5 linked regions of the Callithrix jacchus genome follow. The protein of the gene in region 3 interacts with the protein of the main gene of each other region in a pairwise test. Links are inferred from orthologs where the notes say so. Each region holds a gene or a part of one and is shown on either strand. Other genes may lie near its edges. The genes, in order: ARIH2, RNF125, UBE2L6, RNF144B and DTX3.

Region 1 (5,784 bases), on a different chromosome or scaffold from region 3:
ACATGGGGAAAAACAAACAACAATGGTCACAGAACACCCAGACTTCCTTTTACAAACTGATTAATTACCAACAGCTGCCTCAATCAGAGTCCACACATCTGTCTCAATGCTTACCCAAAGACAATCTCTTCTTTTTTTTTTTTGAAACTGTCTCGCTCTGTTGCCCAGGCTGGAGTGCAGTGGTGCAATCCCCACTCACTGCAACCTCTGCCTCCCAGACTCAAGTGATCCTTCCACCTCACCCTTCCAAGTAGCTGGGACTACAGGTGTGCATTACCACACCAGGCTAATTTTTGTATTTTTTTTGTAGAGACGGTGTTTTCTCATGTTGCCCAGGCTGGTCTCAAACTCCTCGGCTCAAGCAATCCACCTGCCTTGGCCTTCCAAAGCGCTGGGATCACAGGCACCCTGCCCAATCTTTTTTTTTTTTTTTTTTTTTGAGACAAAGTCTTGCTCTCTTGCCCAGGCTGGAGTGTAATGGCATGATCTTGGCTCACTGCAGCCTCTGCCTCCCAGGTTCAAGGGATTCTCGTGCCTCAGCCTCCCAAGTAGCTGGGACTACAGGCATGTGCCACCACACCCAGCTAATTTTTGTATTTTTAGTAGAGATGGGGTTTCACCATGTTGGCCAGGCTGGTCTCAAACTCCTGACCTCAAGTGATCCACTCTAACCTCAACTGATCTGCCTGCCTCAGCCTCCCAAAGTGCTGGGATTACAGGTGTGAGCCACCATGCCTAACCCTTCAGAAAATCTTTTATTTTCCTTTGGAGTAATGCATACACAGGACAAAGGAGAAGTAAAGGGCTCTAGTTTTCCCTGCAGGCAGAGGCAGTGCAACACTCTTAGAAATCCCTGGGACATCCAGCAGAGAACTGGGTCCTTGATGGACGTAGCAAATGAAGATGTGGATCCACAAGCAGAAGTGTGGAACGCTGCACAGGGTGCTAAAATACCCTCTCCCAGCAGGGCTTCCCACCTTCAGAGGTCTGTGCCCGATGGGGCCAGGCACTGGAGCAGGGATAGGATGAGTGAAGTGGTAGATACCTTGGCCAAGAGCTTGGCAGCATTCTGTAGGTACTGCCAGTCGATCCATGTCCCCAGATTGTTCATGACCCTCTCCTGAATCTTCTCGTGAATCCGCTGGTATGTCTGTGCCTCTAGCTGCAAGCTTTTGTTGTGGTTTTCCCACTACAGGGCACAGAAAGAAGAAGAAAACCACAGGAGTCCCACAAAGGTGCAGAGGTCTACACAGGAGTTGAGGATAGACACCTTGATGGCAAGACATGGCCACGGACTCCTCTAACTTATGGAGAATGTGTGCAGGAGCAGGTCTTCTTCAGCCATCCTTCTAACCTGTCCAGAGCAGCTGTATGCCTGCCAGATCACACTACCTTTCTGGAGCAATGGGACTCCAGCCCTGAGGACTATGCAAAGCTAGGTCCCTAATGGTCTAATGTGCTCTTTGGGCTTCTGAAGGGCTCCTTCAGAAAGGAGAAACTGCTTTCCAAATATGACTACTGAGATGATACTATGGGAACAGATTGTGAGGACAAAAAGAAAAAAATGAATAAAAATTTAAAACGTAGAAAAAAGAAAAAAAAAATGGCACTAGATGGAAAAGACTATCTGATGGCCCTTCACTGTCCTTCAACCAATCATTTGGCTGGGCGCAATGGCTCACGCCTGTAATCCCAGCACTTTGTGAAGCCGAGGTAGGCAGATCACAAGGTCAGGAGTTCAAGACCAGCCTGGCCAATATGGCAAAACCCCGTCTCTGCTAAAAATTACAAAAATTAGCCAGGTATGGTGGTGGGCGCCTGAAGTTCTAGCTACTTAAGGAGGTTGAGGCAGGAGAATCACTTGAACCCGGGGGGGATGGAGGTTGCAGTGAGCTGAGATCATGCCACTGCACTCTGGCCTGGGCAACAGAGAGAGATTCTGTCTCAAAAAAAAAAAAAAAAAACCATCATTCAACCAAGGTCAGTACCAGTTCCTTCCCTGTTGGCTGGGGATACCCTGTAGAGCTTGAAAGGCACATCTATACAGGCAGCACCCAGGGATACCGCAGGAGCTCCATTCACTGACTTCTATGTGTACAGGCTGGCTCTGGCTACCAGTCCATGGGAATCCCACCCCAACAGGCCAAGTGGAAGAAGCCAACCCTGTAGGGGAAGGTACAGAAGAGGACACCTACCCTCTCAAAGTAGAATAAGTACTTCTTGAGGGCTTCCCTTGCCTGGGCTTGTTGGCTCTGGTTCACAATGTCAGGATTCTCCTTGTAACGACTGCACTCATAGTATTCACTGCCATGAGTCTTCCAATCTCCTAGACACATCCAGCAGAAGTCTGTACAGAACAGAGAAAAGTCTTTTACATCCACAAGACAACTCCACTTTCCTCCAAAGGCAGAGTGAGACAGACAGACCCAGCTCCAAAGTGGTCACCTGAAAAGAACTTCGCAAGGGTGCCTCTTTCCAGAAGGAATGTGCACCTCTCATCCCTGTCATATCCTACTGTCCTTATAGCCTATACTTGCTGATATGAACAATAGCCTATGGATAATTTCTTTTTTTCTTTTTGAGATGGAGTCTTGCTCTGTTGCTAGGCTAGAGTGTGATGGTGCAATCTCAGCTCACTGCAACCTCTTACACCTTGGTTCAAGCAATTCTCCAAGTAGCTGGGATTATAGGCACATGCCACCATGCTCAGCTAATTTTTGTATTTTTAGTAGAGACAGGGTCTCACCATGTTGGCCAGGCTGGTCTCAAACTCCTGACCTCATGATCTGCCCACCTAGACCTCTCAAAGTGCTAAGATTACAGGCTTTGAGAGCCACTCCACATGGCAGCTTATGGATAATTTCTATTCCATCAGCACATGTGCCATGTGCCTTATTAATCTAACACAGGCAGATGCTGACCATAGACTACTGGTCTGCTATGTCAATGCCACAATGAGAAGCAGGAACTCATCCAATTGAGGACTACCTGTCTAAACACATCATCAGTAAAAACTGACCTCCCGACTGCTTCCTACCATCACATTCGTCCTAGAAAGATTTCTGTAGTCCTAGAAAGATTTCTGTATCGAAAGCTAATAATAAAGGCTTTTTCCCTTTTTTTCTGTTTTAAAGAACACAATTCCTATTCTTTTTGAGACAGAGTCTTACTCTGTCCCCTAGGCTGAAGTGCAGTAGTGCGATCTCAGCTCACTGCAACCTCCTCCCAGGTTCAAGTGATTCTCCTGCCTCAGCCTCCAGAGTAGCTGGGATTACAGGTGCCCGCCAACACGTCTGGCTAATTTTTGTATTTTTAGTAGAGATGGGGTTTCACCATGTTGGCCAGGCTGGTCTCGAACTCCCAACATTCAGTGATCTGCCCATTTCTGCCTCCCAAAGAACACATTTCTATAAAACCAAGAGCAATCCAATGGTTCATACTCAGAATTATTCTGTTTTGGCTGAGCGCAGTAGCTCACACCTGTAATCCCAGCACTCTGGGAAGCTAAGGCGGGTGGATTACCTGAGGTCAGGAGTTCAAGACCAGTCCAGCCAACATGGTGCAACCCCCATCTCTACTTAAAAAAATTAGCCAGTACAGTGGCACGATCTCAGCTCACTGTGACCTCTGCCTCCTGGGTTCAAGATTCTCATGAAATGGCAGTTAACTCTGGGTGTCAAGGGATACTGACACCCGGGGACTTCTTAGGCACTAAAAATGTAGTGGGTGCTGGGGTGTTTGTCATTATTCTTTAAGCTGTATGTGTCTTTTGCATTGTTCTAAGTCTATGATACACTTCCCTCTCTGATATATACATAGAAAAAGAGAAAGAAAGAGTGTGGACCCACAGAAGAAATATGCCACTACCTATGGCCTATCTTCGTTTGGCACTGCAGAGTCAATGTTGTTAAGACCCTGCCATGACCACTCTGATTAAGAGGGGTCTTCGGGCTGGGCGTGGTGGCACATGCCTGTAATCTAGCACTTTGGGAATCCAAGGCAGGCAGATCACCTGAGGCCATGAGTTTGAGACCAGCCTGGCCAACATGGTGAAACCCCATCAGCCAGGCGTGGTGGTGGCGCCTATAATCACAGCTACTGGGGAGGCTGAGGGAGAATCGCTTGAACCCGGGAGATGGGTTCACACCACTGCACACCAGCCTGGGTGACAACAGCAAAACTCCATCTTTAAAAAAAGAAAAAAAAGGCCAGGCACGGTGGCTCACGCCTTTAATCCCAGCACTCTGGGAGGCCGAGGCAGACGGATCACCTGAGGTAAGGAGTTTGAGACCAGCCTGGCCAACATGGTGAAACCCTCTCTCTACTAAAAATACAAAAAACTAGCCAGGCTTGGTGGGCACCTGCAATCCCAGCTACTCAGAAGGCTGAGGTGGGAAAACTGCTTAAACCTGGGAGGCAGAGATTGCAGTGAGCCAAGATTACTCCACTGCACTCCAGCCTGGGAGTGACAGAGCGAGACTCTGTCTCAAAAGAAAAAAAGAAGGCTGGGCACAGTGGCTCACACCTATAATCCCAGCACTTTGGGAGGCTGAGGCAGGTGGATCACAAGATCATGAGATCGAGACCATCCTGGTCAACAAGGTGAAACCCCGTCTCTACTAAAAATACAAAAATTAGCTGGGCATGGTGGTGCGTGCCTGTATTCCCAGCTACTCGGGAGGGAGGCTGAGGCAGGAGAATTGCTTGAACCCAGGAGGTGGAGGTTGCAGTGAGCTAAGATCGTGCCATTGCATTCCAGCCTGGGTGACAAGAGTGAAACTCCATCTCAAAAAAAAAAAAAAAAAGAAATAGAAAAAGAAAAAAGAAAAGAGGGTTCCTGGGAATAGCATTCACACAGGCCCTTACAAACAAAAACTCTCAGCCAGGCACAATGGCTTACTCCTATAATCTCAGCACTTTGGGAGGCCAAGGCAAGTGCATCACCTGAGGTCAGGACTGGCCACCGTGGCAAAACCCATGTCTACTAAAAATACAAAAATTAGCTGGGCATGGTGGCATATGCCTGTAATCCCAGCTACTCAAGAGGCTGAGGCAAGAGAATCACTTGAACCCAGGAGACAGAGATCGTACCACTACACTCCCATCTGGGCAACAGAGATTCTGTCTCAAAAAAAAAAAAAAAAAAAAAAAAAAGTAGAAACTCTCGGGGGCTCCTGATAAGCATCAAAGCAGCTGTCTGTGTAGGAGACCTACTTCGACATATTTTCTACTTGAAGGGATTCTGTTTCTTCAGTTGACCTGGCAGGAAGCCATGCAAAACCAATTGGTTCTAGCTATGTAAACTACTCCTGATCGATAAAGGAGGTCTGAAATGCTAAATCAAAACCCCCTCTATAAACTTTGTAAAACAGCAAGAGAAAAGCATTATTTTACTGCCTCTGGTAAAGGTATCTCTAAGGTAGCACAGATAAGCCCCAAGCTACTTACCAGCCTTGGCAAAGAATGAAAGCAACACCCTGAAATCATCTTCTTGGATGACTGAGGATCATGAGGATTATCCCAAACTTGACTTCTGACTATATGTGTTAGCAAGATAGTAGTGGGGTTATAAGAGGGACCAAAAAATAAAATAAGCTACTTTATGCCAGTTATTGTGACTGTAAGTGAATGAGGCTCTTCTTTGTTTTGTCATTTCATGGCAGAAGTACTCACTTAAATAGTAACGAAGACCCAAGCACAAGAAAATGCCACTGGGCCTTACATACCAAGCTTGGAACTCACCGTGTTTACATTTGGAGCATTGCTGTCAGAGGAAAACAGAAG
Region 2 (5,784 bases), on a different chromosome or scaffold from region 3:
ACTTCGGCCTCTAAAAGTACTGGGATTACAAGCATGAGCCACAGCACCCAGCCTAAATGGACTTTCTTGACTTCCAAAATTTTCCTTTCTAACTCCCATACAAGATTATTAATGTTATTCTATTAGAGATCAGAACAAGAGCATTAGAGCAGAGTTCGTATTTTTTTGAATGTCTGTACTTTGTTTCACTTTTTTTTTTTTTACATAGAACAAAGATTAGTTACCGTGCCTAACCATGATGGGAGTTATTAATATGTAGCATTAGATACTGAGTGTTATCTAATTTGCAAACCAAGATCCTACTTGCCTACCCTGTGTCTTCTCCATATAATAATGACTGATGCAGACAATTTTTTGTTGTTAAATGTGTAAAAATCTCAAGAACGTAAAACCGATTTAAGCCATCAAAATTAAAGCAGTTTTAAAATGCACTATAACAATAAACATGGACAAACATATAACTGTGTTGTTCATTTTTGCCCATCAAGCATTGACAGCTTCCAATTTTTTCAAGCAGCGTCTTAAATGGTGCGATTCAGTGGTCCCTTTTCCCTTCCTTTTAATAAAATTATGTGGTGTTTGAGTGATTCACATATTCAAGAAGTGACTGATCTAAGACTCTTCGGATAAGAGCTTCCTCAATTATATTAAAATCCTACAATAAAGAAAAATAATTAGAAGTTTTAGATTCAATAGTATTTCAGAAACTGGAGGATGAAGGTCAAGGCAACACCCTCATTTTGCAGGGAACTAAACTTAGGAGACTTGTCCGAGGTTCCACAAAGCCTGTCATAGAACCCAAGACTTTTGCTTTGGGGCCAATGAATTTTCTACTTCACTTTGCTGTCTATGTATTAACTAGTCACTGTTATACTAAAACGTCTTGATTGGAAATTTGAAGTTTTTATCTGATGTAATAGAAGTATTTAGTCAACATTACAAATCCTGGTCGGAGTGTTATGTTCCACACAAACCTGTAAAATGGAGCAATGTTCAGGCATCCCCGCAGGCTTCACCAAGGCCAGCAGTACTACTGAATAGCTATTTTGGAAGAAAACGTTAAAAACAAAACTTTCTCCTTGCCTCTCTATGTGTCAAAGTGGAATTCATAACTTATGTCAGCACATTCTATAAGCAAAACAAAAGCCATTAAGAATACTATCCTCTGTAATCCCTCTCCTCTCCCATAATAAGAAAAAGAGAAATCTCTATTCAAAGTCCATTCTGCAACATTCTAAAAACAAACAAACAAACAAACAAAAAACCCCACAAAAATCCAAAGAAAAGCCATAAAGCCCAGTAGAGCACAAGGTTTGGTCTTGATATTGGCTTGTTCTTAGGTGATTTAGTTAACCTTTGAGCTTCAGATATTTCAGTTAAATTAAGATAACAATACGGTATTCACTTTTCACGGAAGTTGCTGCAAGGAATGAAATGTGATATGTACATAGAGTACTTGGCTTAGAATATAGTAGCCCTGTAAGCAAAAAAATAAAAACAAAAAACACTACTTCAGGCTCACTTTCATACCCAAGAATATAGCTGTGAGTGGCTAGAAAGTATTCTTATCAAAGTGGCTTCATCCTGACTAGCTCTGGATCATGCTTTGTCTGAAAGATCTTGAGAATAGGCTGAAGATGATTAGCCAGAAGAGGCATAAAATCCACCTGGCTTTTAGAACATCTCATAGAGCTAAGATAAAGAGAAACCTCTTTGTATTACCAGAGAGAACACAAAGACCAGAACCAAGTTCTGTTGAGGCCGGTGTGCTGTATAGGCCACAAAAGACATGCTTAGAAATATGGAGTGGAGAATTTAAAGTCTCTGTCATGTTCCTTGTTCAGTTCCTCAAGTGGTCCTAACAATTCCACTCCCATCCCATCTCCAACTTGCCTAACATCTGCTCCTGAACTATGCAAATCACTTTATATACATTAGCTCATTTAATCCTCAAAAGAGTTTTGGGAGTAGGTGCTTTTAATCTCCTCCCTTAACCAATGGACAAACTGAGTTTCAGAGGTTAAATACCTTCTACAAGGTCACACAGGTGACAGAGCTATTGCTTAGTTTAGAGTCCACATACGGTGGCTCAAGCCTGTAATCCCAGCACTTTGAGAGGTCGGGGATGGCAGATCACAAAGTCAGGAGTTCAAGACAAGCCTGGCCAACATGGTGAAACCCTGTCTCTACCAAAAATACAAAAAAAATTAGCTGGGCATAGTGGCGCAAACCTATAAGGGTAGCACCCTGCTACTTGGGAGGTTGAGGCAGGAGAATTGCTGAACCCAGGAGGCAGAAGTTGCCGTGAGCAGAGATCAGGCCACTGAACTTCAGCCTTGATGACAGAGCAAGACTCTGTCAAGGGGGGAAAAAAAAAAAACTAGTTTAGAAACAGAGGTCCCAGCATCCTATCTGGATAATAATAATAGGCAGATCGAAAACATGGAGAAAATTCTTAAATGATGATTTCCAATCATTATCAAATTTTATCTTGACATTGCATTTCATTTTTTATGTAATTTCATCTCAGCTAATAAGCTCTCGATTTAATAATAATTATTACTATGTATAGGAATAGACTAGAGTAAAAACTAATTTAAAAACTAAGTCTGGCCAGGCACGGTGGCTCACGCCTGTAATCCCAGCACTTTGAGAGGCTGAGGTGGGTGGATCACAAGGTCAGGAGTTCAAGACTAGCCTGGCCAAATGGTGAAACTCCTTCCCTAATAAAAATAGAGAAAAATGCACCATGTGGTAGTGCATGTCTATAATCCCAGCTGCTTGGGAGGCTGAGGTAGGAGAATTGCATAAACCTGGGAGGCGGAGGTTACAGTGAGCCAAGATTGTGCCACTGCACTCTAGCCTGAGCGACAGAGTGAGACTCTGTCTCAAAAAAAACAAAAAACAAAAAACTAAGTCTAACACTTTATTATACAACTATTGCGATTTTCCGGATTTAGAAAATTACAATGAAAATAACCTCATCTAGGATCCAGGGAAAACATTCTCTTTTTTTTTTTTTTTTTTTTTGAGATGGAATCTCACTGTCACCCAGGCTAAATTGCAGTGGTGCAATCTTGGCTCACTACAATCTCCGCATCCCTGGTTCAAGGGATTCTCCTGCTTCAGTCTTCCAAGTAGCTGGGACTACAGGTGTGTGCCACTATGCCCAACTGATTTTTTGTACTTTTAGTAGAGATGGGGTTTCACCATGTCAGCCAGGGTGGTCTCCATCTCTTGATCTCATGATCTGCTCACCTCGGGCAGATCCCAAAGTGCTGGGATTACATGCGTGAGCCACTGAAACTGGCCTAATTTTTTTATTTTTAGTAGAGATAGGATTTCACCACATTGGCCAGGCTGGTCTCAAACTCTTGACCTTAAGTCCCAAAGCGTTGGGATTACAGGCGTGAGCCACTGTGCTGGGTCAAAACATTCTATTTTCATGATTTCCTACTTAAGGCTAAAACGCAACACTCTAACTATACACACATTATTTCCTCCATAATTTTATTCACTTGGATTAGAAAGGTAAGCTCAACACAAACACCATAAAAACATAATGTAAAAATAAGAAAATATACTTACTATGAAATCGTCATAAAACAAAGTGTGACTAACTTGCAGATGTCTTATTAAACTGCCACTGAAGCTGGTTGGATTCTCATCAGGTATTAAACGGCAAAGTGGACAGAACTGGAAACAAAAAAGACCAGGGGTTCAATAAAGAATTTAAAATAGTTACCAGTGCCAAAATTAAAAGCAACAGGTAACCATTCAGAAACTCTCAACTTTATTAATCCATTAGCTACACCTCAGTATTATGTTATAAAATTACATATACATCAAAGTAACATTAAGCAAATAAAATTACATTTATTTCTTCATATGCATACATAACAATATAACTGTTTCATAGTCATCAATTTATTATTTAAACAATATTACGGTTACTAGATGTACTATAATTTACTTAATTAGTTTGCCTACCTCTTGGAACACTTGTTTTGTATGTGGATATTTTGTTATCACAAATGAGAATAACTATAGTGTTTACCTTTTAGGGGATTAGTTCCTTAGGAGAAATGGCCAGAAATGGCAATTACCAGGTCAACAGTTATGAATATCAGCCAGGAGTGGTGGCTTGCGCCTGTAATCCCAGCACTTTGGGAGGCCAATGAAGGTGGATTACTTGAGGCCAGGAATTCAGGACTAGCATAGCCAACATGGTGAAACCCTATTTCTACTAAAAATCCAAAAATTAGTCGGATGTGGTGGCACATACCTGTTATCCCAAATACTTGGGAGGCTGAGACAGGAAGATTGCTTTAAAAAAAGATTTTACCAGGTTTTTCCTGTACTTGTATTTGTGTGTGTGTGTGTGTGTGTGTGTGTGATATAGTTTGAAAATTTGTCCCTGCCCAAATCTCAGGTTGAAATGGTGGCTCAGGCCTGTCATCCCAGCACTTTCGGAGGCAGATCACTTGAGGCCAGGAGTTCGTGACCAGCCTGGCCAACATGGCGAAGCCCCATCTCCACTAAAAAGACAAAAAAATTTAGCCAGGTATGGTGGCAGGCACCTGTAATCCCAGCTACTTGGGTGGCTGAGGCATCAGCTCTGTCTCAAAAAAAAAAAAAGAAAAGAAAAAGAAAAAGATTTCACCAGGTTTTGCCTGTACTCATATTCTCTCTCTCTCTCTCTCTCTCTCTCTCTCTCTCTCTCTCTCTCTCTCTCTCTCTCTGTGTGTGTGTGTGTGTGTGTGATATATATTTTGGAAATTTGTCCCTGCCCAAATCTCACGTGGAAAGTAATCCCCGGGCGAAGGCTCAGGCCTGTCATCCCAGCACTTTGGGAGGAGGATCACTTGAGGTCAGGAGCTGGTGACTAGCCTGGCCAACATGACGAAATCTATCTCTACTAAAAAGACAAAAAAAAAAAAAATTAGCTGGGCATGGTGGTGCATGCCTGTAGTCTCAGCTACTCCTGAAGTTGGGAGGCAGAGGTTGAAGTGAGCCAAGATCATGCCACTGCACTCTGGCCTGGATGACAGATTAACACTCTTGTCTCAAACAAACAAACAAACAAAAAAAAACAACGGACCTAGAAGATGAATTAAAAAAAAAAGATACTAACCCAATCTGTCACTACAAAAGAAGCCAGTGTATTGCTATCCTTTATTTCCTTCTCTCTCCCTAACTTCTGATCCATTCCCCATATTATTATTTGACTATTTCAAGAAGCTTATATAAATAGAATTATATAATATTTAACCTTTAAGATTGGCTTTTTCCATTGAGCATGACTTTGAGATCCATCTGAGTTGCTGGGTATATCAATAGTTCCCTCCTTATCACTGAGTAATATTTCATGGTATGGATGTCCCACCATCTGCTTATCCATCTAGTTTTTAAAGGGCATTTAGGTTGTTTCCAGTTTTTGGTTGCTACAGATAAAGCTGCAATAAATATTTGTGTATAAATGTCTGTGTAAACATAATTTTCATTTCTCTAGGATAAATTTTCAGGAGTTTGCTTGGTTATATGGTAAGTATACGTTTAACTTTGTAAAAAACTGCCAAACTGTTTTCCAGAGTGGCTGTACTATTTTACATTCTCACCAGCAATGTATAAATTATTTAGTTTTTCCTTATTTTCCCCAATATTTGGTGTTGTCCAAATTTTTTTATGTTAGCCATTTTGATAAATGTGCAGTGGTATTTCACCATGGTTTTAATTTGCACTTCCATGATGGCTAATATAAACAACGCTTTGTAACTCTTTTTT
Region 3 (6,524 bases):
CTTAGCCTCACAATGGTCCTGGGAAGCAGACACCCACCCAAAGCCATACTGCACATGGGGGCAAATGTGGAACTAGAACCCAGATATCCCTGGGGCTTGTTCTGACACACAGAGGTCTGCATTGTGAAAGGACATGAAAATCACACCTGTGGGCTGCCCCACTGTGTGTGGGCTTAGAACCCAGCTATTTCCACTACTGTGAATTTGCCTCAGGATGCAGCGTTTCTGTAAGAAAAAAAAGAGCTACAGAGCGTGGACAGAGGCGTTTGCTCCTGTTTCTGTAGACACTACCCCCTTTGCTCATGCTGTTCCTTCTTGTTAGGACATCTTCATCCCACGCTCTTACTCTCGCTGACTCATCATGTTTCACAATACGCTTGGATTTTTCTCTCTTTCGGGAAATGTCTGCCCCTCTCTGAAGGGAGATTAAGTGATCTTCCTCATATTCCCGGAGTACGAGGTGATTCTCCACATCATTATCATTAAAAATCAGGAGCTGCATTCTCTCCCTCTGGCCCAGTAGTCTGAGAGCTCCTCAGGGGCGGGGACTCCCCTTTTTCATCCTGGTGTTTTCTGCTGGCAACGCCTGCCCCCAAGTAGTAAGTGCTGGTTTTTTCGTGTGTGTGTGTGTGTGTGTGTGTGTGTGTGTGTGTGTGTGTGTTTGGTTTTCTTGAGACAGAGTCTGGCTCTGTCGCCGGTCTGGGGTGCAATGGATTGATCTCGGCTCACTGCAACCTCCGCCTCACAGGTTCAAGTGATTCTCCTGCCTCAGCCTCCGGAGTAGATGGGACTATAGGCGCATACCACCACACCCAGCTAATTTTTTTTTTTTTTGAGACTGATTTTCTCTCTTGTTACCCAGGCTGGAGTGCAATGGCGCCATCTCGGCTCACCGCAACCTCTGCCTCCTGGGTTCAGGCAATTCTCCTGCCTCAGCCTCCTGAGTAGCTGGGATTACAGGCACGTGCCACCATGCCCAGCTAATTTTTTGTATTTTTTTTAAGTAGAGACGGGGTTTCACCATGTTGACCAGGATGGTCTCGATATGTTGACTTCATGATCCACCCGCCTCGGCCTCCCAAAGTGCTGGGATTACAGGCGTGAGCCACCGCGCCCAGCCTGTATTTTTAGTAGAGATGGGGTTTCACCCTATTGGTCAGGCTGGTCTTGATTTCCTGACCTCGTGATCTGCCGGCCTCTGCCTCCCAAAGTGCTGGGATGTAAGTGCTTGTTGACTGAGACTACTGATCAGAGGCAGGTGTGAATGTCTTTGTTCCCTCATCTCTACCCCTGTTCAGAGGTTACAGACAGTGTCCTATTCATTTCTGGCATATAGGAGATGCTGTTAAAGTTTATTGAATTGAATGAAACACAATTAATTGATCTGCAAAATCACTGGGAATCAAAATACTTATTTTAAAACTATGGGCCGGGCACGGTGGCTCACGTCTGCAATCCCAACACTTTGGGAGGCCGAGCTGGGCGAATTACTTGAAACCACGAGTTCGAGATTCTGTCTCTACTAAAAATACACAAATGAGCCGGTCGTTGGGGTGCGGGTCTGTAAATCTCAGCTACTCAGGAGGTTGCCTAGAGAACAGCTTGAGCCGGAAGGCGAAGGCAGCAGTAGCCGATATTGCCACCGAACTCCAGTCAGGGCGGCAGTGAGACTCTGTCAGAATCAACAAAAACAAAAACTGGGGCGCGGTGGCTCACGCGTGTAATCCTAGCATTTTGGGAGGCCGAGGCGGGCGGATCGCGAGGTCAGGAGTTCGAGACCAGCTTGACCAACATGGTTAAACCCCGTCTCTACTAAAAATACAAAAAACAAACAACAACAACAAAACTGTGAGTTGCTGAGATCACAAACCGGTGCTCAAAATCTACTGATTTCCCTTCTCCTCTCGACTAAAGTTGGGTGGGGAAGGGGAAGGAGGGAGGGATTGGCCCTCCCAACAAGTCTCATCTTCCCCAGATGCTGCTTGGTGCTCAGGGGCTGCAAGTACTCCGTCCTTGCCCAGAGGGGTGGGGACTCCAGCGATGCATGGGGGCATACGCTAGGCCCACAGCTTGTAATGGACCAGCAGTAGTAAAATAAGGGAGGAGGAGCAGACTCTCTTGGAGAGGAGCCTCCGGAGTCCGTCTAGGGGCATCTCCCACCAACCGTTTCCCAAACCAGCATACAGTAGGCACTTAGTGAATACTAAGCCTAGTAAAGGACTGAACGACGGTCGACCGAACCCCCAGAGCAAAAGAGAAAGGGTCTAACAGCGCCTCCTTGCGGTGCTCTTCTCCAAGCCACGGGGAGAAACGTTGCGGCCCGCGCGCAACGCCAGACAGCACAAAGGATCCGGGACAGCGGGGGAGCGGCTCGGAGGGCACGGGTCTACGCCGTCCACCACGCAGTTTCGGAGATGGAGCGCTGGGCCCACGGAGGGAAGGCTGCAGGCTCGGGGGCTGCGGAAGCTCGCTGGGGCAGGGGCTCAGGGCGGTGGTCTAATGGTTGAGGCCGCCGAGAACTGTCACGGAGCTGCGTTTGCACAGCAAGCATCCTTTATTTACTCAGGGCGAGCGTGTATGTGGGGCGGCGCGCGGAGGGCTGACAGAGAGCGGACAGCTTCCAACCGAGGGGACCGGAACCCGGATGAGCGCCCCCCAGCGCCCCTGCACGCTCGCGGCCGGTGCACGCGCCCCCTCAGGACTCACGGTCCGCAGAGCCGCGCGCCCGGAGGCCCGCCCCCGTCTCCCCACAAAGACCGTGAGTCCCGGGTCCGAGACCTCCACGCGGGGATCGGGCGGGTGCCCGGCGGGTTGTCCCTTGGCGGCCTCCTGGCCTCGCCCGAGCGGGTGCGGGGAGGTCCCGCACCGACGCGGGAGGAGGGGTGGGCGGGGCTGCCGGGGGTGGGGTCCTCGGGGCGGGGTGGGGCGGGGCGCGCGGTGTCGCGGGTCGGGACTCGGTCCTGCTGGAGGCCGCTGGTGCCACACACTCGGTCCCGAGATGACGGCGAGCGTGCGAGTGGCGAAGGTAATCGCTCGTAGGGTGACCCTTTTCTCTTGGCTCCCCTTGCCGCCCCCCGCCCCCTCCCCCCCCCGCGTATTCCCGCCTCCCTCCATCCCCTCCGCGGTTCTCCGAGCTCATTTATTTATTTGTCTGGGCACCTGCGCTGGCCGAATCCCTGTCCTCCCCGCCCTCTACTCAGAGGAGGAGTCTGGCCTGCACGAGTGGCCAGAGCTGGAGTTTTGGGGGCTTGGAGGGCCCATGGGGAGGGGATGTTGCTGGCCCGTTGACCTGTATGCGTGGTGAGGATGAGCCGGCTCCCACCAAACTGGTTTCAATTTCGATTTTCCTGCCTGAAACTTGTGATAAGGATGGAGTGCGGCTCCAGTGCTGGAAGCGTTCTTGGCGTCTTGGTGCCAGGCATTCTGCTACTGCTGGGTGGGTTATGAACACGAATGACCAGGATGAAGTCCTTGCCTTGGAATAAGCCATGGCCCATCCCACAATTTGATGCCTGCATTACTAGAGTACTGAGAAACAGGGAATGCTGATTAGAATTTGGGGCAAAGTTCCCTGGGTATTCTCTGGAGGAAAAGATGCGGAGGCGGACCTGGAAGGCCTCCTGGAGTAGGTGGCTTGCATTAGTGAGTTCTGCCAGTGTCGAATGCCTATATGTGCTGGCCCGGTTCTAGGAGGTGGGGGTGGGGCGGGCAGAGATGAACACAAATCCAGTCCTTGTTGAATTTTATTCCGATCAGGGACACAATTTGAAACAAGACCTGGAAGGATGGGGAGGGGGCAGTTTCCTCCAGAAGCTGGAAAAACCCAGGGTGCTACCCTCAGCCTCTGAGAAGAAAATGGCCTCAGACTGCGACACCCAGAGCAGGCTTGGCCCAGAACCTAAATCTGGAGGTTGGCAGCAAAATGAGGCAGAGGGTCTTTCCAGCCGAGTGGGAGAGAGATGGGAGCCAGAATTTATTGCACTGGAACCGTTGAATGCCAAACAGTTTACGCAGTTACTTCATTTAATTCTCACAGCAGTTCTGTGAGATAAGTAATATACACCCGCGTTTTACAAATGAGGAAATTGGGGCGCAGAGAAAATAACTTGGTTGTCCAGAGTCTTTCAGTAAGGAGCAGTGGGACTGCTATATGAAGCCAGGTCTGCAGGCCCTTTTAATGGCCTCTCTACTTTCATTTTCTGTTCTTCTGAGTCAGGTGATTTCCTAATAGGCAGTAGGAAAGAACTGTGTTTTAAGTTGGGTTTCAACTTCCTCAGGCTTTGGGAACGTTTTGGCAGAACTCACCCTAAATGGATAAAGTCCAAGGGTGCCCAGTTATAGTCAAGTCAGGAAAATGTCTATTCCAGATCTTCTCTGGTCAACCTGGGGCTTCGTTCTTGCCAAAGAATCACAGATGATAGTGAAACTCTTCCGAAATGCAGATGCTTCTAGTTTGGGGTAAAGATAAATGAGGAATAAAGATAAATGGGGTAAAGATAAATAGAACCTGGGTGGAAGGCACCAGAAGCAGCTTATTGGTTGAACGGCGATGGAACACAGATTAGAGATAGGAGGGGGGCATGGGATGTGTTTAATATTATATATTGGGCGGAAGGCAGAGAAATTTCAAGAGTTCTACAGTGTCCAAAGATCATGTATCCGTTGTATGTTTTTAGATTTGAGGTTACTGGAGGTTTTCAAACAGTATCTTATAACCTGTTATTTTATTTTATTTTTATAAAGATGGGTTTCACCATGATGACCAGGCTGGTCTTGAATTCCTGACCTCAGGTGATCCACCCACCTTGGCCTCCCAAAGTGCTGGGGTGCTGGGATTACAGGCATGAGCCACCGTGCCCAGCACAGATGATTTTTTATTGCTCATTAGCTTTTTTTTTCTTTTTTGATTGAACAGCTGCTTTTTAGCATTTCTTAATAGGACTGGTCTGGTGTTGATGACATCTCTCAGCTTTTGTTTGTCTGGGAATGTATTTCTCCTTCATGTTTGAAGGATATTTTCTTCCTTTTTTTTTAGAGATGGGATTTCACCATGTTGGTCAGGAGGCTGGTCTTGAACTCCTGACCTTGTGATCTGCCCACCTCGGCCTCCTAAAGTACTGGGATTATAGGCGTGAGCCACAGTGCCCAGCCTTGAAGGATATTTTCACTGGATATACTATTCTAGTGTAAAAGATTTTTTCCATCAGCCATAATTCATTTAAATATGTCATACCACTCTTTCCTGGCCTGTAAGATTTCCACTGAAAAGTCTGCTGTCAGACATAGTGGAGCTCCATTATATATTATTTGTTTATTTTCTCTTGCTGCTGTTGGGACCCTTTCTTTGTCCCTGACCTCTGGGCGTTTGATTATTAAATGCCTTGAGGTAGTCTTCTTTGGGTTAAGTCTACCTGGTGTTTTATAACCTTCTCATATTTGCATATTGGTATCTTTCTCTAGATTTGGGAAGTTCTCTGTTACTATCCCTTTGAATAAACTTTCTAGCCCTGTCTCTCTCCCCACCTCCTACTTAATGCCGATAACTATTAGATTTGCCCTTTTGGGGCTATTTTCTAGATCCTGTAGGCATAGTTCATTCTTTTATTATTTTGTTTTATCTGTTTTCAAATACTCTGTCTTCAAGCTCTCTAATTCTTCTGCTTGATCAATTCTGCTATTAAAAGACTCTGATGCATTCTTCAGTATGTCAATTGCATTTTTTTTTTAAGACGGAGTTTTGCTCTTGTTGCCCAGGCTGGAGTGCAGTGGTACGATCTCAGCTCACTGTAACCTCCGCCTCCCAGGTTCAAGAGATTCCCCTGCCTCAGCCTCCTAAGTAGCTGGGATTATAGGCATGAGCCACTAAGCCTAATTTTTGTATTTTTAGTAGAGATGGGGTTTCACCATGTTGGCCAGGCTGATCTCAAACTCCTGACCTCAGGTGATCCACCCACCTCAGCCTCCCAAAATGCTGGTATTACAGGCATGACCCACTGTGCCCGGCCTCAATTGCAATTTTCAACTCCAGAATTTCTGCTTGATTCTTTTTAACTATTTCAATTTCTTTGTGAAATTTGTTGATGGGATTTTGAACTCCTCTGTGGAGGAAATATTGAATTTCTTTGAGTTTCCTCAAAACAGCTATTTTGAATTCTCTGTCTGAAAGATCACATATCTCTGTTTCTGTGGAACTGGCCCCTTGTACCTCACTTAGTTTATTTGGTGAGGCTGTGTTTTCCTGGGTCGTCTTGAAGCTTGTGGATGTTTGTTAGTGTCTGGGCACTGAGGAGTTAGGTATTTATTACAGTCCGTAGTCTGGGCTTCTTTGTACTCAACCTTCTTGGAAAGTCTTTCTAGGTATTCGAAGAGGGTTGGGTGTTGTGATCTAAGTTTTGGTCATCGCAGCCATGTCTACACTGGGGGGACTCCAAGCCTGGTAACACTGCAGTTCTTGCAGATTCTTAGAGGGTACTCTTGGTGGTTTTGGATAAAATTAGGAAGAATTCTCTGGATTATCAGGCAGA
Region 4 (5,784 bases), on a different chromosome or scaffold from region 3:
TTGTTCACATCTCAAAGAGGTGAAATATGTAACTTTTTTCCTCTGTCACTGAGTCACAAGTCCTGCCTGTTTGGAATGCTTGGAATTTTTTAAACAAAATGCATCTCTGCTATGTAAAGGCTTTTCTATCATGAAAACATTTTTTACATATAACATATATTTTTTATAACTTTGACGTCATAGCCTATAGGCATGTAACACCTTAGTTTTAAGGAGTACAAACTTACGTACTGTTTAGAGTGAGAGACAATTATGTTTCACATGGCCTTGATTGCCACAGTTTCTAGTTCTACCTTCAAAAGAAGACTATTTCTAAGAAATATCCAATTATAGGTATTCAAATATGGGTAACAATTGAGGTATTAGAGTAATCCAATATGTCTTTCAAGAGTATCCAATTAATTTCTAAGAGGTATCCAATTATGTCTTTGTTTTTCAAGAGTACATTAAAATTTTGGCCTGTTAAATGTCTCCTAAAAAATAATAAAGAGTAAGACTGAGAAATACATGGGTTTCTTGAAGAGCACCCAGATCTCTTGTGAGGTCAGAACATCAGACTTGGCTCTTCACACCAGCTTTCTCCAAACGGCTAAGTGTATTTGACATTTGGAGTGCGGGATGGTCCTGGTCTCTGTCATTTCTCCTTTTCCCCTACTCTGAAAGCATTTACTACCTACATTTCTTGTTGATTTACTTGGGATTTCTCTTGAAAGAAAGCTAATTAAGCAGTGCAGCAGTGTTAAGAACATAGAGATGAGAAGACTGCGGCTGGGGAAGCTGGTGGGACTGTGTGCTGTGAGCTGGGGAGTATTGGAGACGCAAGCTAATGACAGTTGTTTAAGTATGAACTGGGAAGAAGGAAGAGGTAAAATCATTCATGTTTATGCCTGTGTCCATCCTAAAGAGACCCGAATTTGAGGTGCAGGTTTATTTGAATTTAATTTGCTCTTGGTTGATTGCTCCTCAGTAGTTAATGGAAAAAGAAAACTCTCTCTTGAACCTTATTGGACCTTTGCCGAGAAAAAATGGAAACACATGGAAACATGTGGAAGACATGGTTTTTAATTACTTGGACTCAAGGCTTCTGGTACTGAGTACTGGGAGTAGGTGAAAAACCTGAAGTGCTCCAGGTTGCTAGAGTTAGTAATTGTTGACTTTTTGGTATGACTTAAAGTGAATGTGGACAGACCGACAAGCAAATATCTCATTTATTTTTTTCCGTTTCCATCTAATTGAATTTGTTTTTCACCTACTTGTTTTATTACTTTTGTTCTTACATATTGAGACTTAAGCTATTGTGGGACTAGGTAGCTAATGACATACATGTCATGTCTTTTGTCTGAAAATTAAGAGGAAAAGACTTTGGTTCTTATAGGGGGAGGTGTATTTGCTATTATTTATTTTTTCTTTTTTTGAGACGGGTTCTCACTCTGTCACCCAGGCTGGAGTGTAGTGGCGCAATCTTGGCTCACTACAATATCCGCCTCCCAGGTTCCAGCAATTCTTTGCCTCAGCCTCCTGAGTAGCTGGGATTACAGGCACCTGCCACCACGCCCAGCTAATTTTTGTATTTTTAGTAGAGATGAGGTTTTACCATCTTGGCCAGGCTGGTCTTGAACTCCTGACCTCGTGATCCACCTGCCTCGGCTCAAATTTTGCTCCTGTACTTTAGGGACCTTAAGGATAGCTGTGGTCATGGATTTGAACTCTCTTTTTCTCTTTCCGTTCCCCTTCCTCCTCCCTTTCCCAGCTTCATCTGTCCATGTGACATCCACGTAAGGCAGCTCTGGTGTAATGGATCTGGCACTGGGCTTGGTGGCCTCAGAAGTTGAGGTTTGTATTCTGCTCTGCCATGTACAAGCTCTGAGAACTTTGGCAGATTACCTAACTTCTCAGTACCACAATTAATCTATAAAATGAAGAAAACAATTATTTCATCATCCCAAGCAGAAACTCTGTACCCGTTGAACATGCCAGGTGAGGAGGTGCACCTGTCTCCACCTCCTGTGGTCCCAGGTACTTGGGAGGTGGAGGCAGGAGGGTCATGTGAGCCCAGGAGCTCGAGGCTGCAGTCAGCTATAATTGTGGCACTGCACTCGAGCCTGGGCAACAGAAAGATACCCTGTCTCTAGGGAAAAAATTAACCTACAATCGCTCTTCATTTCGCCCTCCCACCAGCTCCTGGTAACCTGTATTCTACTTTTTGTCTTTCAGAATTTGACTACTCTAGGTACCTCATCTAAGTGGAATTATATAATATTTGATTTTCTGTCTGGTCTATTTTAGTTAACATGATGTCAAGGTTCATTCATGTTATAACATGTGTCAGAATTTTATTTCTTTTTACTCCATTGTATGTATATGCCATATTTTGTTCATTCTTCTGTGTTTTTTTTTGGTTTTCATTTTCTTTTTTTTTTTTTGAGACGAAATTTCATTCTGTCACCGAGGCTGGAGTGCAGTGGCACAATTACGGCTAACTTGAAACCTCTGCCTCCCAGGTTCAAGCGATTTTCCCATCTCAGCCTCCCAAGTAGCAGGGATTACAGACATGTGCCACCATGCCTGGCTAATTTTGTATTTTTAGTAGATATGTGGTTTCATCATGTTGCCCAGGCTGGTCTTGAACTCCTGACCTCAAGTGATCCACCTGCCTTGGTGTCCCACAGTGCTGGGATTACTGGCATGAGCCTCTGCGCCGAGCCTCATTCTTCTGTTGATGGACACTTGGGTCACTTCAACTATTTGGATATTGTGAAGAATGTTGCTATGAGCATGGGTGTACAAATATCTCTTTGAGATTCTGCTTTCGGTCTTTTGAGCATATACCCAGAAGAGGAATTGCCGGATCATACGTTACCTCTTTGTTTAACTTTTTGAGTGGCATTCTATTTTTAAGTACTTTTTGGGTCTGTTGAATTGATTGTAGTGATGCAACTCCTAAATGACATGTTTGCTTCTAGTGGTATTCCCCTCCTCAGCTTTATTGAGGTATAACTGACAAATTATATGTATTTGCGGTAGACAGTGTGGTGTTTTGCTACACATATACATTGTGAAATACTTAAATCAAGCTAATGAACATTATCACTTCTCTTGTTTTTTTTTGTGGTGAGATCATTTAAAATCTACTGTTGGCCATTTTCAAGTATACAATGTATTCTTACTAACCCTAGTCACCATGCTGTATGAGACTCCCCAGAACTTACTCATTTTGTCTAAATGGAACTTTGTAAGCTTGACCAACATCTCCTCATTCCCGCCTCACTGTAGTGGTCTTTTAATTTCCGTAACTCATATGATGTGAATCAGGACGGTGAGGTCAGCTTAAATTTCAGGACTTCAGGGACACCTTGCCAAGGTAGCACGCTCTCTAGCCCGTGGTTCTCAGAAATGTATTCGCTGTAAGTTTAGGGATAACTGAGGGTGAGAATTTGATCACCTGGCCTCCTAATGTGTTGGCTAAACAAGAGCTTTATCAATCCATATAATATTTTGTGCTTTGGACCTTTTATAGGGATTGAGGAGACTGAAGAAAGTTGAAGACAGTCTGATGAGCTCAGCTGGTAGGCTCCACTATCTCGCCATGACAGCTGAAAATTCCACTCCTGGAGACCTGGCTCCGGCACCCCTCATCACTTGCAAACTCTGTCTGTGTGAGCAGTCTCTGGACAAGATGACCACACTCCAGGAATGCCAGTGCATCTTTTGCACAGCTGTAAGTTTTCCTTGATGCTTTCTCTGTGAGAAAATACATTGGGAAAAATTATAAAAGTAGGATCTATTTCTGCAGATTATTGAGAAGCCAAACTTTGCTGCGATATGATCCTGCTTTGGAAAGCATTTCATATTTGAATCTATTTTCAAATAGTATCTTAAATGGTTAATCATAGGTTTACCTGTTCTAGGTAAGTATAATGTATGTTTGAAATTTAATTATTGGTTGAACAGTCTTTCTGTTAAGGTTCAAGGTATGGAACTTATTTTCTATTCTGTAGCTATGGAACAAAATAGAAAAATTTATTTTTTATTCTGTAGTTAAGTACCACCTATAAGAAACTCACCAGGTCTTTTGAATGATGGAGAAGTCAGGTAGCAATTTACTTTATCTACCGAATTTTCATTTGCGTACTTGTTCATTTTCCACAAAGCACATGGTATAAATTATACTTTGTCATAGCTCCTTTTATTCTGTTTTCACAATATGCTGAATGCTTTTTATTCCACTTAATAAGAACCCTATAGATGTCCAGGAGTGGGCTTGCCCCTTTTAGTGTGACACGTGATGTCAATACCTGTGGCCTTTACTGCCACTTTTCTTCGACGGTTGGTTGGTTAAGGTATAAAGATAGGAAATAGAGTTCCTATAGGGTTCCATGACAGAGAATAACATTGTTTGTTCATCTAATCAACAGATATCTATTAAGCAGGAACTAAGTCCCAGGAATGGTTCTAGGCACCAGGATTTATCAGTTTAGGAAACAAAACCCAGCTATGTTTCTTGCTTTTAAGAGCTTATAGTCTATCAGAGAAAGTTATGTAGGAGTTCAGGGCTGAGAGGATGCTGCTGTTTTAAATAGGGTGGTCAGAAGCTGGCCTTGCTGAGGAGTAATGTTTGTACTGTTTCTCCTTCCTCTTGTTTGTTTACAGGAAGTAGAGAAATGGCCTTGTCATCTCAGAGCAGCTTCAGTTTCCTTTGGTCTTGCTTTGTTTCTGAAGGCTGTCCTTCAAAACAATTATTTCTCTGGCTTTCTCAACCTTGCTGCAGACCCTTGCTAATCCTTGAAACAAATGAGTCAGAAGCAACATTTGGTGAAAATTGGGATGCAAATATTTCGCTGAGGGTTACTGCTGTTTAAAAGAATTCAGTTTTTGCTATGACATTTAATAGTGCAGAATTCACGTTTGTGTGTCAACACTGGGCAGATAACACGGGGGAAGGTTGTATTTCATCTTCGCAGGGAAGTAACACTGTCTTGTTATTGTTTCAGTAGATTTTAGTTCCTAATTAAAAACAGCATGGCTGCTTCTCATTTCTCTTTCTGCAGCGTCAGGGTAGGAGTTAGTACAGTTAGCTTACTTCATCATCTAGATTCACACTTCCTCATTATTAGGAAGTGCTCAAAAGCAGGAAGTCAAATAGCTTAATATTTTTGGTATCCCTCAATTTGGACCTTTTTGCACCACGAAACATTAACTTTCCCGGGTGTCCTCTTACCCTATTATCTATGAGCTGCCAAAATAGTAAGCGATGTATGATTACATTAGTGTCTGTAAAACTGCAATATGAATCAGGCTCAACTGAAATACTGCTCTAATTTTTTTTGGTTAGAGATTTATTTCTTCTTTTTTAAAGAATGACTTAAAGATGTGTCTAATACTTCCCAGACTTTAATTTGCATCTGTATTACAGATGTCAAATGTTTTGTGTTTTCGAGACTGAAAAGAAATTTGTAATTTTTCATATGCCACATACTACTGACTTCTACTTTTAAATAGGATTGGACAACGTCTCCCAATTGCTTGTGCCTACCATATCTTTAAAACGATTTTACTGAGAACCATCCCCCTGCCCCAGAGAGTATTCACATGTAATGATCTTCCTGCCGGATTTGATGTTATGCTGGTATGTACTAGCATACATAATGTGTATGTTTTTTCTTTTCATGTCAGCCAGGTAATGTGCTTATGGTGTAACAAGGTTTGAGGGCAGCGTATCTCACGTGACTGTGAGAAGCCAATCATCACGCTTATGGACTACAAAGCATCTATACTGGTGTATTT
Region 5 (6,394 bases), on a different chromosome or scaffold from region 3:
TCTTCCCCACCCTACAATGCCTCTGGAGCCAAGGCACCCATTCATCTTGCTAGCCTCCATCCCCCTGAGGCTTCCACTTTTTTTTTTTTTTTTAAACCTTAAGATGGGCACCAGCAACTGGCCTGTGGTGATGCAAAGCTGCTTTGCTCTGTATCTGGCTGGACTGATCTATCTCCCAAGAAGCCATGAGGCAATAGGGAGAAGCTCTCTCTCTCCTCTTCATCTTCTGCTCCAAAGGAGGTAGCAAGAGGAGTACCCAGTTTTAGGGGTTGGAGCCCCTATAACATCTTCCTGTCAGGAGACTGATGGATCTTTTTCATTCCAACCATCTCCCTTTCCCCCAGTGAATGCAATAAAACTTTGTGACACCAGCAACTGTTGTTCTTTAGAAATGGGTTTTCTGATCACATGGCTGATGTATTATGGGCAGTATGGATGTCTTCATTTGTTGCTTCTGTTTATCATCTTTTTTGTTTTATTAAAAAAAATTCGTGGTCGGTTGCAGTGACTCAACGCCTATAATCCCAGCACTTTGGGAGGCCGAGGCGGGTGGATCACGAGGTCAAGAGATCGAGACCATCCTGGTCAACAGGGTGAAACCCCGTCTCTACTAAAAATACAAAAATTAGCTGGGCATGGTGGTGAGTGCCTGTAGTCCCAGCTACTTGGGAGGCTGAGGCAGGAGAATCGCTTGAACCTGGGAGGCGGAGGTTGTGGTGAGCCGAGATTGCACCATTGCATTCCAGCCTGAGTAACAACAGCGAAACTCTGTCTCAAAAAAAAAAAAAAAAATTCGTGTATTTGCTCCCATTGCTATCATAATACAGGGAATAAATTATTCAATCCAAATTCCTGTACAGAAATACTTTTTTTTTTTAAATTTTTTTATTAACATTTCACTTCTCTGAGGAAGCCTGTGCTTAAGGGTGCAGAAACCAGCTGAAGAATTTTGGTGTTCAAGGTGTTGAGCCCCTAACTAAGGATGTGGGTTTCTAGACAGATGGCTGTGAACTTTTTTGAAAAGGCTGTGAAGTGTGTGCACGGAAATGGAAAGCTTAGTTTTTAGCCTTGTGGCAGGTCAGCGGTAGTGAGGGCCAGGGAAGAGTAGGGTGATGGGACCCTTCCTCTTCGCAGAGTTCTGGGCTTGGCTAACACTCCATTTTGGCAAAGGTGAGTGGGCCTCTCAGCCCACCTGCTAAAAGAAAAGGAATTCAGTACTCCACCCCCCACCGACTTCCTGGGAAAGCTGTCCTCTTCCTGGAGGGAAGGAAGAGTACAGCTGCAGCAGGGTCCTGGGAAAGTGAAGAAAGTGACCAGCCCTCCAGTCTAGAGGGGGAATGAAAAAGGGGTGGATGAATAGAGGTTGTTGCCAGTTTGGGAGATTCCTGTCTTGGCTGAGAAAGTCTTTTGGCTGGTGGAAAAACCTGGCTTGATGTGGCTGGCCTCAGGGAAGTGAGTTGGATTGGGGGCGGAGACTGCTTGAAGTGGGAAGCAGAGCAGAGCTTTTTTTCTTTGAGAGTTTTTAACTCTATTTGAACCATACACTTGACACAACCACCACCCCAAGCCACTTTTTAAAAAATGTATTCACTTCCCATTCTGCACCAGCCTCCATATCCGTTTGTGGAAAGAGAAAATCGGAGGCACTTACCAATGACCATCTGAGAGCACGTTGTGGGGGTCACAGGAGGTAACAATCTAGAAAGAGGCAGGAGATGAGGGAGGGGATTGAAATAGTTTAGTACCGGGATTTGTTTATTTTTTAGAACCAATGCTTTTCTTTTTACTATGACTCTCCCCAACCCACATTGTTCCTCAAAGGCCCTTCTACCACAAGGATTCAAAAAATTGCCGCCCTCCCCCCTCCGAATCCCCATATACCCACCAACACTTCACCCACCCATCCACCACCAGCTCCCGGGAGCTGCTACGCAGCTGGCTGGGAAAGAAAAGGGAGAGTGCTCTGCTGGGAGGCGGGAGCGAGAAGGGTGGCGTCTCCAGGGATTTAACCTCCTACCCTCAGTTCCGTGACGCCACCCCCTCCCTCCAAAGAGTGGGACAGCTCCTCCATTTTTGTTCTGGGGAGGAAGAGCAGGGGCTTGCGGATAGAAGGGGGTCAAAGGGAACGGTGATTATCACCTGTGAGGGGAAAGGGGGTGCTGTCCTCCCTCCTTCCCTTTCCATCAGCCTGCACCCCCTGCAACCCCCCACCTTCTCGGGGTCTCCCCCCCCTTGTTGCTAAGGCCCGGACCGTCATCCCAGCAACAGCCTCAGTCATGTGACCGGCAATGGCGGCGCTGACGAGAGGTAGGTGAGCCCGGCGCCCCCCACACCCACCGCGCGCCCCCCAGGCCCCGCTAGCACCCCTCACACGCCCCCCGCTCCCCCGGCACCCCCTCTTCCCCCACCCCTCCCCGTACGCGGCTCTGGGCCCCCAGCTCCGGGCCCGGGCGATCATCTTTCTAGCACCCTCCAGCCTTGGCCTCTATTCGGGGATTCTGAGAGCTGCGATCGGGCCGACCTGCACCCCCACCCGGGGGTGGGGATCCGGGGGCTTCGGCGAGTGAGAGATGTGGGGAGTTGGTTCCGGGTCGGGTGTTGGAGGAGGCCTTGGGGGGAGGGCTGGAGCGGCCTCAGTGGATGCCCCCAGGGACCCTTGCCCTTCCCGGCTGTCCCTCCCTCCGGCCTGGGTCTGGAGGGAGACTGGTCCCTTGTCCGGCCTGGGTTGCCACGGAGGAATCACAGACCCACCCTAAACTGTGGCCCCGCCTCCCTTTTCTATGCCAGCAGGACTTGGAGCTAGGACACCTAGGTCCTGGGTCCCCTGTGATGAGACGGGAGGTGTTGCATCGCGGGTAGACTGTATGGGCTGAAGATCTAGTGTTCCATTTTCACTTTATGAATCTCAAGGTGCCTCTGGCCTTTGGGGATGATGATAGAAACATGAAGGGACAGCTGCTCCTTTTTTGGATCAGTCAATAAATGGAGGTCACACTTATGGCCCCTCTTTCTGTTTGAGCTGCATTGGGAGGTGTTGTGGGGACAGCACTGTAGCCCAATGCGACCAGACTCTGGGGAAACATCAGGCCTCTCCAGCTGAGCCCTTGTGTGAGCCCCGCCCCTCCCTAAATACCAGACTAGGGAGCTGACAGACAGCCCTGCCTGTGCTGGGTTTAAAAGGTGACAATGAGAACTTTGTTATTGTGGGGGCTGCTGCCACTTCGTTCACCTCTTTAACAGACTTCAGCGGAAGGGACTGAGTTAGCTCTCAAGGAAGGCTCCCTGGCAATAGGGGCTGAATTATTTGGGAATATGGAGCAGCGCAAGGAATTGGGAACACAGGAAATACTCCAGTTCATGTGATCTGAGGGAGGCGTCAGGAAGACCTCCACCTGTGTGGGCTTTTTCTTTCCTGGCTTCTCTTATGTGTGCCCTAGGCTTTCTTGGGGGCCTCAGAGCTGGGGAAGAAAGGAGGAAGGTTAGCATGTTGAAGTTCCTTCTTGAGCAACCTGGGGAGAAGCTGAGGATGGAATTCTGCAGAGGATAGAGGAAATGGAAGGGGAGTTTTTATTTCTGGGTTGGCTGAGGGAAATGGTAACATTTGCCATCATAACTTTTTACCCTTCCCCCACTCCCAGGCCTGGTCAGCTGAGTGGAAATAGAAGGATTTCTGCTGCCATCATCTTCCATGGGCTTTCCAGGTACCTCCCCAACAAGGGATCCTCAATGTTCACCCTGAAACTGGTTTCCTTCATTCCGTGTTCCAAGTAATCCCATTCCCAGTAACCTATGCCCAGGTTTCTGTCTCTGTTCCATGGGCTGCTAGGTTGGGGGCCAGGGGATTTGGGAGAAGGGGTTTCTCACTTTCCTTCCTTTTTTCCGCCCTGCCAGGTCACACGACCTACAAGTAGGGAGCAGGGAAAAAAGAGTGAGCCTGCATGCCAATTCTAAGCTCTTCGGGATCAAAGTAAGCAAAAAGGAGGGGCAAAAAATCTCCCTCCCCTTTAAAGAGCCCATTTTTCCCTCAGAGGTGGGAGGGGCAAATTGTCTCTACGATCTGGGAGAAATGACAGGAGAAACAAGACTGATGCTTGGTTTAGATGATAATACAGTTCTGGAAACTTGCTTGGTCTTCAGTGGGCTTTGGAAGATAAAGGGAGATAGAATATGAATTTGGGGGAAGGGTTGGGGATTAGGCTTTGAGAAACAGGTAATAGGGGGTTTGGAAAGAATCTGAAGTAGGAGGCACTGATACTTGTCAAATGGGGACCCCCCACCCTGAGTCCCTTTCACCCTGGGGGCAGTGTCGTTCGTCCTGTCCAGAATGGCAGCCTGTGGAGGCACCTGCAAGAACAAAGTGACTGTCTCCAAGCCTGTGTGGGACTTCCTGAGCAAGGAGACCCCAGCCCGGCTGGCCCGGCTTCGGGAGGAGCACCGTGTGTCCATCCTTATAGATGGCGAGACTTCTGACATCTATGTTCTCCAGCTTTCCCCACAGGGCCCTCCCCCGGCCCCTCCCAATGGGCTCTACCTAGCCCGGAAGGCTCTCAAGGGGCTGCTAAAAGAGGCAGAGAAAGAGCTGAAGAAAGCTCAGAGGCAGGGGGAGCTGATGGGCTGCCTGGCTCTGGGGGGTGGAGGGGAGCACCCTGAGATGCACCGCCCAGGCCCACCCCCTCTCCGAGCAGCCCCACTTCTGCCCCCAGGGGCTCGGGGGCTCCCCCCTCCTCCTCCCCCACTGCCCCCACCTCTTCCTCCTCGCCTTCGGGAGGAGGCAGAAGAGCAGGAGAGCACCTGCCCCATCTGTCTGGGGGAGATCCAGAACGCCAAGACATTGGAGAAGTGCCGGCATTCATTCTGCGAGGGCTGCATCACCCGGGCTCTGCAGGTGAAAAAAGCCTGCCCCATGTGTGGCCGCTTCTATGGGCAGCTGGTGGGCAACCAGCCCCAGAATGGGCGGATGCTGGTCTCTAAGGACGCCACCCTCCTACTGCCCAGCTACGAGAAGTACGGCACCATCGTCATCCAGTACGTCTTCCCGCCCGGTGTCCAAGGGGTAAGAAGACCATGTCCTGCCCTTATCCTTTGGCTTCCCCAGCCTCTGACCTAGGAAAACTGGGTGAGGGTATGTGCTTGTTAGAAGTGAGACAGTCTTGTTGTCTTCCTCTGTGCCCTCCTACTCGGTGCCCTGGAGCTAGGAGGTCCTGGTGAGGCCCAGCTTTTCCATCCCTGTGATCCTAAGGTACACATAAAAATCAGATATGAGCTAGGAAAAAAAACACACATCAGATATGAGAGAAAGAAATTACATATTATTTCCTTGGTGAACATAAATACTATGGTGACATTTGGCAGACGTAAATTCTGTGGAGGTGGTGGCTTAGGGGCAGGCAGGCACAATAGGAAGGGATCTGACAACCCAACAGAGCCAGGAGCATCTCTCTGTGTCAGATGTATGAGAGCAAAACCTTGATGCCAGTGGAAGGTTAAAACAGGAGTGGTCAAGGGCCTATAGGTGTCTTCCTGCTGGACAAAGAGTAATGTGGAATTCTGGGTGCAGAGGGGTAAAGAAGCTGCACAGAGTCCGGGCGCGGTGGCTCACGCCTGTAATCCCAGCACTTTGGGAGGCCAAGGCAGGTGGATCACAGGTCAAGAGATAGAGACCATCCTGGTCAACATGGTGAAACCCCGTCTCTACTAAAAACACAAAAAATTAGCTGGGCATGGTGGTGCATGCCTGTAATCCCAACTACTCAGGAGACTGAGGCAGGAGAATTGCCTGAACCCAGGAGGCAGAAGTTGCCATGAGCCGAGATTGTGCCATTGCACTCCAGCCTGGGTAACAAGAATAAAACTCCATCTCAAAAAAAAAAAGAAGCTGCACAGAAGAGTAATGGAAGATGGAACAGGTTAGACAGTGGCAGAAATATTAGGAGTATTTTCAGGTGAAGGGAAGGCTAAAAGATAGATTATTCTGTCTTCATATTTCTGCTGAGTTGTCTGGAGTGCAGGGACCAGCCACCTTCCATCACTTCTGAGAATCCATTTGTTGCTGAATGGATTGTTGCTGAGGGATTGAGACAGCAGAAAAAAACCTCTTAACACATAAAGATTATGCTCTGAAACAGGCTCTGACTGCCCAGGCCCTATAATCTCTCCTTTGGAAAGCTGTCAGCCTGTTACTGCCCTGTTCGCATTAGCTGGGGGTGCTAAGACAGAGGCTGGCCGCCTCCATTGACATCTGGGTCTTGGGATGGCTGGCTGCTCACTGCCCACTCTGCTTCACCTTCCTCCCAGGCTGAACACCCAAACCCAGGAGTTCGGTATCCTGGCACCACACGGGTGGCCTACCTCCCGGACTGCCCTGAGGGCAACAAGGTGCTGACCCTGTTCCGCA

What was found.
Region 1: the proteins of UBE2L6 (region 3) and ARIH2 interact in binary tests that used the Homo sapiens proteins (3 or more experiments, as listed by UniProt). The link is inferred for Callithrix jacchus from reciprocal best matches to the Homo sapiens genes UBE2L6 and ARIH2.
Region 2: the proteins of UBE2L6 (region 3) and RNF125 interact in a two-hybrid assay, tested with the Homo sapiens proteins (3 studies listed by BioGRID and IntAct). The link is inferred for Callithrix jacchus from reciprocal best matches to the Homo sapiens genes UBE2L6 and RNF125.
Region 4: the proteins of UBE2L6 (region 3) and RNF144B interact in binary tests that used the Homo sapiens proteins (3 or more experiments, as listed by UniProt). The link is inferred for Callithrix jacchus from reciprocal best matches to the Homo sapiens genes UBE2L6 and RNF144B.
Region 5: the proteins of UBE2L6 (region 3) and DTX3 interact in binary tests that used the Homo sapiens proteins (3 or more experiments, as listed by UniProt). The link is inferred for Callithrix jacchus from reciprocal best matches to the Homo sapiens genes UBE2L6 and DTX3.

What each region holds. Positions count from the first base shown.
Region 1 is NC_133516.1:31,597,101-31,602,884, reverse strand, and holds part of ARIH2 (E3 ubiquitin-protein ligase ARIH2), read right to left. Parts: intron 5,765-5,784; coding exon 5,743-5,764; intron 2,348-5,742; coding exon 2,196-2,347; intron 1,190-2,195; coding exon 1,046-1,189; intron 1-1,045.
Region 2 is NC_133514.1:75,146,604-75,152,387, reverse strand, and holds part of RNF125 (E3 ubiquitin-protein ligase RNF125), read right to left. Parts: intron 3,697-5,784; coding exon 3,589-3,696; intron 656-3,588; coding exon 569-655; 3' UTR 1-568. UniProt on the Homo sapiens protein: E3 ubiquitin-protein ligase that mediates ubiquitination and subsequent proteasomal degradation of target proteins, such as RIGI, MAVS/IPS1, IFIH1/MDA5, JAK1 and p53/TP53.
Region 3 is NC_133511.1:115,133,678-115,140,201, reverse strand, and holds the start of UBE2L6 (ubiquitin/ISG15-conjugating enzyme E2 L6), read left to right. Parts: upstream 1-2,304; 5' UTR 2,305-2,644; coding exon 2,645-2,758; intron 2,759-2,922; exon of another isoform or gene 2,923-2,998; coding exon of another isoform or gene 2,999-3,025; intron 3,026-6,524. UniProt on the Homo sapiens protein: Catalyzes the covalent attachment of ubiquitin or ISG15 to other proteins. Functions in the E6/E6-AP-induced ubiquitination of p53/TP53. Promotes ubiquitination and subsequent proteasomal degradation of FLT3.
Region 4 is NC_133505.1:12,443,108-12,448,891, reverse strand, and holds part of RNF144B (E3 ubiquitin-protein ligase RNF144B), read left to right. Parts: intron 1-1,750; 5' UTR 1,751-1,794; coding exon 1,795-1,833; intron 1,834-3,517; coding exon 3,518-3,718; intron 3,719-5,667; exon of another isoform or gene 5,668-5,768; intron 5,769-5,784.
Region 5 is NC_133510.1:62,090,255-62,096,648, reverse strand, and holds the start of DTX3 (putative E3 ubiquitin-protein ligase DTX3), read left to right. Parts: upstream 1-2,280; 5' UTR 2,281-2,307; intron 2,308-3,203; exon of another isoform or gene 3,204-3,478; intron 3,479-3,638; 5' UTR 3,639-3,701; intron 3,702-3,891; 5' UTR 3,892-3,938; coding exon 3,939-3,967; intron 3,968-4,304; coding exon of another isoform or gene 4,305-4,323; coding exon 4,324-5,053; intron 5,054-6,294; coding exon 6,295-6,394. UniProt on the Homo sapiens protein: Regulator of Notch signaling, a signaling pathway involved in cell-cell communications that regulates a broad spectrum of cell-fate determinations.